Macaca fascicularis: one gene and its partner. Each later gene encodes a partner of the first gene's protein in a complex. Links are inferred from orthologs where the notes say so. Each region holds a gene or a part of one and is shown in the gene's direction. Other genes may lie near its edges.

Evidence for each region. The genes of interacting proteins can lie anywhere in the genome.
Region 2: the proteins of ARHGEF7 (region 1) and SHANK1 are in contact, whole or in part, in a crystal structure (PDB 3L4F), measured with the Rattus norvegicus proteins. The link is inferred for Macaca fascicularis from reciprocal best matches to the Homo sapiens genes ARHGEF7 and SHANK1. Residues at the interface, in XP_063131056.1 of Rattus norvegicus: Asp735, Ala737, Trp738, Asp739, Glu740, Thr741, Asn742, Leu743; in NP_113939.2 of Rattus norvegicus: Gly673, Phe674, Gly675, Phe676, Val677, Leu678, Arg679, Gly680, Ala681, Lys682, Phe696, Glu703, His735, Arg736, Val739, Ile742.

Annotation. Positions count from the first base shown.
Region 1 is NC_088391.1:101,799,560-101,803,599, forward strand, and holds part of ARHGEF7 (rho guanine nucleotide exchange factor 7), read left to right. Parts: intron 1-936; coding exon 937-1,023; intron 1,024-3,616; coding exon 3,617-3,785; intron 3,786-3,886; coding exon 3,887-4,026; intron 4,027-4,040. UniProt on the Homo sapiens protein: Acts as a RAC1 guanine nucleotide exchange factor (GEF) and can induce membrane ruffling. Functions in cell migration, attachment and cell spreading. Promotes targeting of RAC1 to focal adhesions. May function as a positive regulator of apoptosis.
Region 2 is NC_088393.1:58,575,016-58,579,055, reverse strand, and holds part of SHANK1 (SH3 and multiple ankyrin repeat domains protein 1), read left to right. Parts: intron 1-256; coding exon of another isoform or gene 257-302; exon of another isoform or gene 303-333; intron 334-740; coding exon 741-1,458; 3' UTR 1,459-4,040. UniProt on the Homo sapiens protein: Seems to be an adapter protein in the postsynaptic density (PSD) of excitatory synapses that interconnects receptors of the postsynaptic membrane including NMDA-type and metabotropic glutamate receptors via complexes with GKAP/PSD-95 and Homer, respectively, and the actin-based cytoskeleton.

The DNA of each region.
Region 1 (4,040 bases):
TTTATGACAGAGCTCCTCAGAGACTTGGCTCTCAATGTTCCCAAAGTATGTTGTGAGTCTTCAAGAGGGGGCTGTAGCAAGTCGTTCTCAGTGGCTTCTTTAAAGTATGGAAGACTCTTTTCAAGGTGCTTTGCGTAAGCCTAATGTTCTGAGGAATATACGTGGGGAAACTAATTCCTAGGACCGATTACACTTTTGGGGGCCGTAGTTTAAGTGTCAACATGTGAAAAGGACTGTCTGGCATTTTTTTGTCACTTTTTGGATTCTTAGGAACTTTTTTCTTTCACTTATCGTCTCTTTGGCTTTTATCTTACCGAAGCAAGTGATTTTTAATACATAAGTAATACTTTTAAGTCTGATGTAAACCAGGTGATGTTTATGGGGTGGATGAGAACAACACTGATTTGACATTTGGGAGGTTTGGGAAGTGCCAGGAATTAGTAGTAGACTGAAATTGATTTTAACATTTTATCCTATCCTTCCTTTAGCTTAAAGACTTCACCTGTTCACCCCACTAAAATGTATAGGTTCTCTCCTTTTTCTCTGAACCAGAAAAAGAAAATTTTAGCTTACCTGAAAATAATCACAGAGCTGAACTCCTTAACCAGATATATTTTCAAGATGTTACACAGGCTAATTGTGACTGCAGGATCTTTTAATCATTCAGTTTAGTTTCTTACCTTTTGTTTTTTGAAGAATTTAGAAATCCTTCTCTTTACCTATATGTCAAAGCTCTCTCTTAATCATATATTAAGACTTAATACAGAATTTATCATAATTGTTTCCATTTAATTTACCTGATAAAACTTGACAGAAATACCTAAATGAGAAATACCATGTGATGTTTCATAGGGTCTAGTATAAATAAGTATTTGTGCTCACATTTGTAAGTAGATGTTGTTTAAGAAATGTTTTGGGTTTCTTTTTTTGTATTAGGAAAAGAATGAAAGATATCTTCTACTCTTCCCAAATGTTTTGCTGATGTTGTCTGCCAGTCCTAGGATGAGTGGCTTTATCTATCAGGTAAAACACCATCTAAATTTATATTTTATTGTGGATCTGAGGATAATTTCAAGCTGACTTTGAATTTTGTGTTAAATATTACATGTATCTGTGTATGTGCTGTGTGTGTAATGCCGTATGTTCAGATATGGATGTACGGCTCCTGTTTATGTTTCGCTGTGACTATGCAAGCATATCCTATGTTCATTTTAAAAAAGGAAAGAAGTGTAAATGTAGAGCAACTTCATAAGGACACAGATGACTGTGGCACAAGTCAGCCTCTGTCATTGCCTTCTGTCATTTCATGCAAAATACCTTGCTGCTCCTTGCTATAGTTTTGTTCTGTGAAATGGGTTCAGCTAGGGCTTGTGGGTTAGTGGGGTAGTGTAGACTAAGGTCTTGTGTCAGTGGCACAGCACTGCCCAAATGCATCAGCAAATAGAAAGTGATGTACGTATGTAAGTAGCAGTGTGTGATTGTTGAACCTTTTTAATTTTTGTTTCCCTGCTTTTCTTGGAGAAAATGTGACAGCGGATTTGAGAAGGAGGTGCAAGGGTGAGCAGGGCCTTCTCTGTTATGACAGTGGTTTATAGTGGTGGTATGTGAAGGAGCTGGTATTTTTGCTGTCTAGTAGATGCACTTGGCAGGTTTCATTCTTTTTTTTCTGTGAAGTAATAGAGGCTCATATCCTTCCCATCAACTTTCTGAGGACTGGCCAGTCACCACATAACCACTGCAGCAGAAGCCACCACTTCGTGTTCCCTGGGTTGCGTTTCATTGTAGCATGTGTTGTTTTGTGTCGTCCCAGCAAGGGCGTTAGAGAGCCCTAAGCAGACACTGTGCCTTCACAGAGGCTTTGTCGACCACCCAGAGAGGACTTGTCGTCATACGCTTACTCTAAAACGGGTGCTTTAGAATTGATGAATCACATATATAGGAAAAGACTCAGGAAAATAAGGCTGTAGTTTGTAAGGCCACTGCTGAAGAGAGGTGATCTGTGGCTAAGGTGGTGCCCACTAGAGTTTTCCAATAAACTAGCAGCTACTTCTTTGTTAAATGACCTTGATAAACCTAAATCTCTGTCCTTTCTGGTCAGCACTATCTGGCTTCCTATTTTATATCCCCAGAGTCTCATTCCAGTGGCTGGAGACAGGAGCCTTCTCTAGCCTAAGGGAGAAGAGGTTGCCACTCGTGGCAGGCTTGAGTCTCTGCCTGTGGGACTGGGGCTCACACTGGCTTTACCCTTGACGTGCTGACAGACTGCTGGGGCTCATCTCAACGACAGGATTCTATTTTTCAGTTCTTAGTACAGTGGTGAGCCATGGTCTCTGTATCGTCAGTCTTCATTTCTACCATTGGAACACTGGCTTTGGGGGATGCTAAAAAGTGTTCGATCCAGCCACAGCCACAGTGCTCTGTACACCGATGTTCCGGTGGGCTAGGTTAAACACAGTTGTGCAGTTTCATTTTCTGTAGCACTCACAGCTGTTAAAGTACTTACATGCATTGTGAATCTTGGAAAGGAGTTCACAGTGTGTAGCATTTTTAAAATACGCTTGGCCACAGAAGTGTCCAGCAGTCTCCTCTTCCACCTGCCGTGCTTTAGGATGAGATTTCTCCACCTGGGCACTGCTGACGTTTTGGACTGGATCATTCATGGCCCGGGGCTGAGGGCTCAGTGAGACTGTCCTGGGTACTGTGGGGTATAGGCAGCCTCTCTGGCCCTTACTTGCTGGATGTCTGAGCCCCTGCCAGGTTGTGGCACTGCCACCCATTCTCTGTGGGGGCACGTTCCCCACACCCGTTGAGCAGCACTCCCACTGGAGGTGCTCATGCAGAATCTCGCTCCGCAGCTGATGGAGTGCTCCCCAGGCAGCACGACCCAGATGCCACTGCCTCTTCCTGAGGACTTGGTGGGCCACCGTGTACTGTAGTTTCTGTCAGCTGCGCCAGACTGTTTTGTGTTCACTTCTGATTTGTTTGTAATGATCACTTTGTACCCCGTTTCTGGTATCTTTTCCATTGACATTTCCTGTTGCAGTTACTGATTTCTTCCATTTTCAGGGAGCATTGGTTTGCCAACCATTTTCTGCATTGTGTGCAGCATTTAGCACAACTACTTATTTTCTGTTTGGTGGATTATAAAGTAGAATGTTAGGCAATTCTTGTTCTTGCCTCAATTTCCCACCCTTATTTTGACTTTAAACTTGGAGCTTCCTCTGTATTTCTTTATGAGGCAAATACATGCTGCTTTTCTGCAAAAACATCGTTTAAAACAACTGTTACACGTGGTAGTTTTTAAAAAATCATAATGTGAGATTTTTTGTCCTGGTGTCTGTTTAGTAGCAGCTCATCAGATGCAGTGTGTGTTTGGGCTTGTCAGTCTGTCCCTTGTCGCCAGTTGAGTTTCTTGCTTACAGTATAGTATTAATATGATTTATTATTTGAGATAAAGATTTTTGTATTATACATGCATCTGCTACAAACGAACTCTTTTTGGTTCACAAACACAGTTCCTCCACCAATTCTAAAATCATTTAATATTACTTTAATAATGGTACCTTTTTCTAGAAAAGCACTAATTGTTTTTTTTTTGTGGGGGGGTCTTTTTTAGGGAAAGCTTCCAACGACAGGAATGACAATCACAAAGCTTGAGGACAGTGAAAACCATAGAAATGCATTTGAAATATCAGGTGATAGGCACAAGCTGTGTGAGTGCCGTGTCTCGGGGAGGAGAGGCAGCTTGTCCCCGCGTGCAGATTCTTGCTTGCATATTTCAGAAGGTGGTGTTTAAGCGTTGAGTGGAATTCTGGGGGCTGTGTGTGCATGCACGCGCTTTTTACCTGTGTTTCCACTCGGCCTATTTTTTCCTTCTCTCCTCTAGGGAGCATGATCGAGCGGATATTAGTGTCATGCAACAACCAGCAGGATCTGCAGGAATGGGTGGACCACCTACAGAAGCAAACGAAGGTCACATCTGTGGGAAACCCCACCATAAAGCCTCATTCGGTGCCGTCTCATACCGTAAGGACCTGGCG
Region 2 (4,040 bases), on another chromosome or scaffold:
AGAGTGAGCCAGGCAGGGGGAGCGGCCAGTTCAAAGGCCCTGAGGTGGGACAGTGCTGGAGGAGAGGGAACAAAAGGGATGAGGGGAACCTTTTTCTCCCCTTGTTTCTTCTCTCTTTCATCTCCCTCTCTTCATCTCTCTCTCTCTGTGTCCCCTGTCCCTTCCATCTCTCTCCCCTGGATGCTCACCCTCTTTTTGTCTCTCTCTCACTGTCTCCCCATCTTTCACTCTGCTATGACTGGCCATAACCTGAAAGGCAGTATAGAATAGTGGTGAAGAGCTCAGACTTTGGTGCCATATAACCGGGCTCTGCCACTTCCTGTGTGTCCTTAGGCAAGTTATTTAACCTCTCTGTGCTGATAATAATAGTAACCTGCATCAGGGCTGTCGTGGGGATTGAGATGCAATCATGTAAAGCACTTAGAACAATGCCTGGCACACGTGAGCATCAGTGAGCGGTGACGATTATTATTATTATCACTTAATGTCTCTTTTTCTTTCATCTCTCTTAACTGTCGCCCTCTCCCTGTCCTCTCATCTTTCTCTCCCTTCATTTCTTTCCTCGACGGCCATATTACCCTTTGCTCCCTCCATTTCTTCCCGTCTCTCTCCTCCATTTCTCCCCCTACCCTTATGTCTCTCCTCCTCTCTCCCTATATCTTGACCTCTGCCTCTTTCTCACCCCTGCCCTTGCCCCCTAAATCCCTGTCCTCCCCCACTGCCCCCTTGTCACATTCCAGACTCTCCGACGACTCCCAGTCCTCGCTCCTCTCCAAGCCTGTCAGCAGCCTGTTTCAGAACTGGCCCAAACCACCTCTGCCACCGCTCCCCACCGGAACAGGGGTCTCCCCTACAGCCGCTGCGGCCCCAGGGGCCACCTCACCCTCGGCCTCCTCCTCCTCCACGTCCACCCGCCACCTCCAGGGCGTGGAGTTCGAGATGCGGCCCCCTCTGCTCCGCCGGGCCCCCAGCCCCTCGCTGCTGCCCGCCTCGGAGCACAAGGTCAGCCCTGCGCCCAGGCCCTCCTCCCTGCCCATCCTGCCTTCTGGACCCCTCTACCCAGGCCTCTTTGACATCCGTGGCTCCCCAACTGGAGGGGCAGGAGGCTCAGCTGACCCCTTCGCCCCAGTCTTTGTGCCGCCACACCCGGGGATATCCGGAGGGCTCGGGGGAGCCTTGTCAGGGGCCTCGCGCTCCCTCTCACCGACCCGCCTGCTCTCGCTGCCCCCGGACAAGCCGTTTGGCGCTAAACCTCTGGGGTTCTGGACCAAGTTCGACGTGGCTGATTGGCTAGAGTGGCTGGGTTTGGGGGAGCACCGAGCCCAGTTCCTGGACCATGAGATCGATGGCTCCCACCTGCCCGCCTTGACCAAGGAGGACTATGTAGATCTAGGTGTGACCAGGGTGGGCCACCGCATGAACATCGACCGGGCTCTCAAATTCTTCCTGGAGAGGTGATGGCTGGCCTGGACGGACCAGCCCCGTCCACAGAACTCTTGAGCCTGCTGGCCTCTTGACCTCTGACCCCTGACTGTCATTCTCTCCCCTGGGCCAGGGACTCTGTTCAAACTGCGCCCTGCCCTCGTCTCCCAAGGCCAGAGGTCACTAGGTGGCCCAATCCAGGCCGGACATTTGCACCTCACTGAAGGGGGGCAGCTGACACAAGACTGTGTGTGTGTGAAGCGGGGAGCGGAGGGGGGATAGGAGAAATTACCGAGGGGGACTGAGAAGGAGGGAAGGGCCTATTCTGGGGGGAGGGGACAGACAGAGCCATAGAGGGTCAGCCCTGAGCCTGATTGGATGGGGACTGTCCCCCAGGCCGCAGGGGAAGGGGGTGCCCTCAGATTCCACCACCTGCCGCCCCTCTAACCACCCTTCCCACTCTCTCCAGACCCCTCAGCTCTTCCCCCTTCCCCTCTCCCCAGCACACACAGCTGCCCCCCTCAGCTTCTTGCACGCTCTGTTGCACGCCTGCTCACCTCTCTCCCCTCCCCTCCCTGGGCTGCAATTTTGCACAAATTTGCCCTCTCGCTGTCTTGCACATTCTGCCTTTGCTTCCGGCTGGCGAGGCCCGTTCAAACACACTCTGTTCTCCTCGCACACGCTGCATTTCCTTTCTCATGCTCCATGCCTCCTGCTCTGATTCTCGCTGCTTACACACTTTTCCCCTACCAGGGCCCTCCTTTACACACTCCATTTCACATCTCCTCCTCCCCGCTCGCTCTGGACCCTTGTTGCAGACACACTTGGGACACATTTTCCCTCCCCCACTCACGGACTCCATGCACATCATTCATTCTCTGGAGTGCCCTGCTCTTTGCTCAGCCCTTGCACACTTGCTATCTTATGCACCCTTCCTGACACACTCTTACCTCCATTTTCTTACGTTGAAGCACTTTCCCTTCTTATTCTTAAAAACCCCAGATTCTTCCACTCCCCACCTCTCCCCTCTCACCGTGACACTCCTAGCCCTCCACCCCTCCCCCCTCTTCCCTCTTGCCCCTTTTGCACCGTCACTTTTGGTCACACCTTTTGCACACTTGCCTCCCAGGAACTGTGTTTCTCTCACAAATGCTCATTCTCTTCTTCTTTGCCAGGCTCCCACTCCCTTGCCCCTTTCTGTTTGAAATCTTTGCCCCTCTGCATTTTTGATTCTTTTGTGAACCCTCTCGCACACTTGCTTTTGCACATGCGCCCCCGCCCCCCGCCCCCGCATTTTCAGTGCTCTCTGGAAGCCTTGTTTCTCCCCCTTTAATAATGTTCTTGCACTCCATGACATGGCTGCACACCGCATCTTGTCTTTTCTACCTGAATGAGAGCTCTACCACTTCTTTCCTTTTGCAAACTCATCTCATTCCATGCGCTCTTGGGCTGTAACATTTCTCTTCCTGACACCTTTATTTGTTTTTTCCTGTTGACAAGCAGCTCTTGCGGCCATTCTCATTCGGATTCTCTTACCTCCTTAAGCTCTTTCTCTTCCTGGTGAGAGAAGACCCTATGCACACTGGCTTCCCGCTCACCATGCTTCCACACTCAAGCCTGACCCTGCCTCCAGCCCTCAGCCTCCCTCTTCTCTTGCCTGTCCTTCCTGGGCCATCTGTCCATCCCTTTTGCACGAAGATGCCCCTCTCCTAACCTGCCCACTCCAAGAAGCTCCCTCTCCTTCCAGCATGGCTGTTCCTTCCCGCACGCTTCCTCTCTCCCCTTGTCCCCGCGGCTTGGCAATTGTAAGCCACCCCTCCCCCTGAGAAGCCCCCTCCCCTGCTGTGGGTAAAGCGGGGAGGGCATTGCCCTCAGGTCCCCCCCCATGTTCAGCTGCCAAAGAAGGGAGCTCCCCCTCCTTCCCCAAGCCCATTCCCCCTCTGCTGCCCCCTACCCCCGAGAGGGGGGGGCGCTCCGTCCATGAGGGGAGGGGGCTTGCAGCCCCCTCCCCTCACCATGTCAGGGATCTGCGGGGAACCTCGTGGGAGGGTCGTGGGAGGGGGGAGGGGTGTTGAGGAGAGGGGCAGAGGACGCGCTGGACCCCTACCCGCCCCCTCCCCCTTGTCGGATGCCCCCAGTCCGCAGGGGGCCTGCGCGGCGCCCGTCTATCAAGGGCTTGTTCATTCTGGATGGGTGCCGCGGGGTTGGGGAGGGCGTAGGGGGTGGGGAGGGGGGAAGAGAGGTCGGGGTGGGAAGTGGGGAGGGACCGAATGCGGGGACAGCGCGGGATGGAGAGCAGAGAAAAAGCAAAAAGAGGAACAATAACAAAAGAAGAAAATATAAAAAACAGAAAAAAAAAAACCACAAAACCCCTAGAACACACAAAAAAAATCCAGAAAAAAAACCTGAAATAAAAGCCCGAGAATTGTCTTCCAAGGGGGGTGGGAGGGGAAGAGGAGGGGGGCGGATGAGGACGTCTGATTCTGAGGCAGGGCTCGGCACGCGTTGAAAGCCCCGGTGCCCAGGTCTTCCCTTCCGCGGGCCTCAGTTCATCTTTCAAGGGATTGGGACCCAGGAGTCCACGTACAGGGACTGGAGGAAGATTAGGGAGGCGGGAT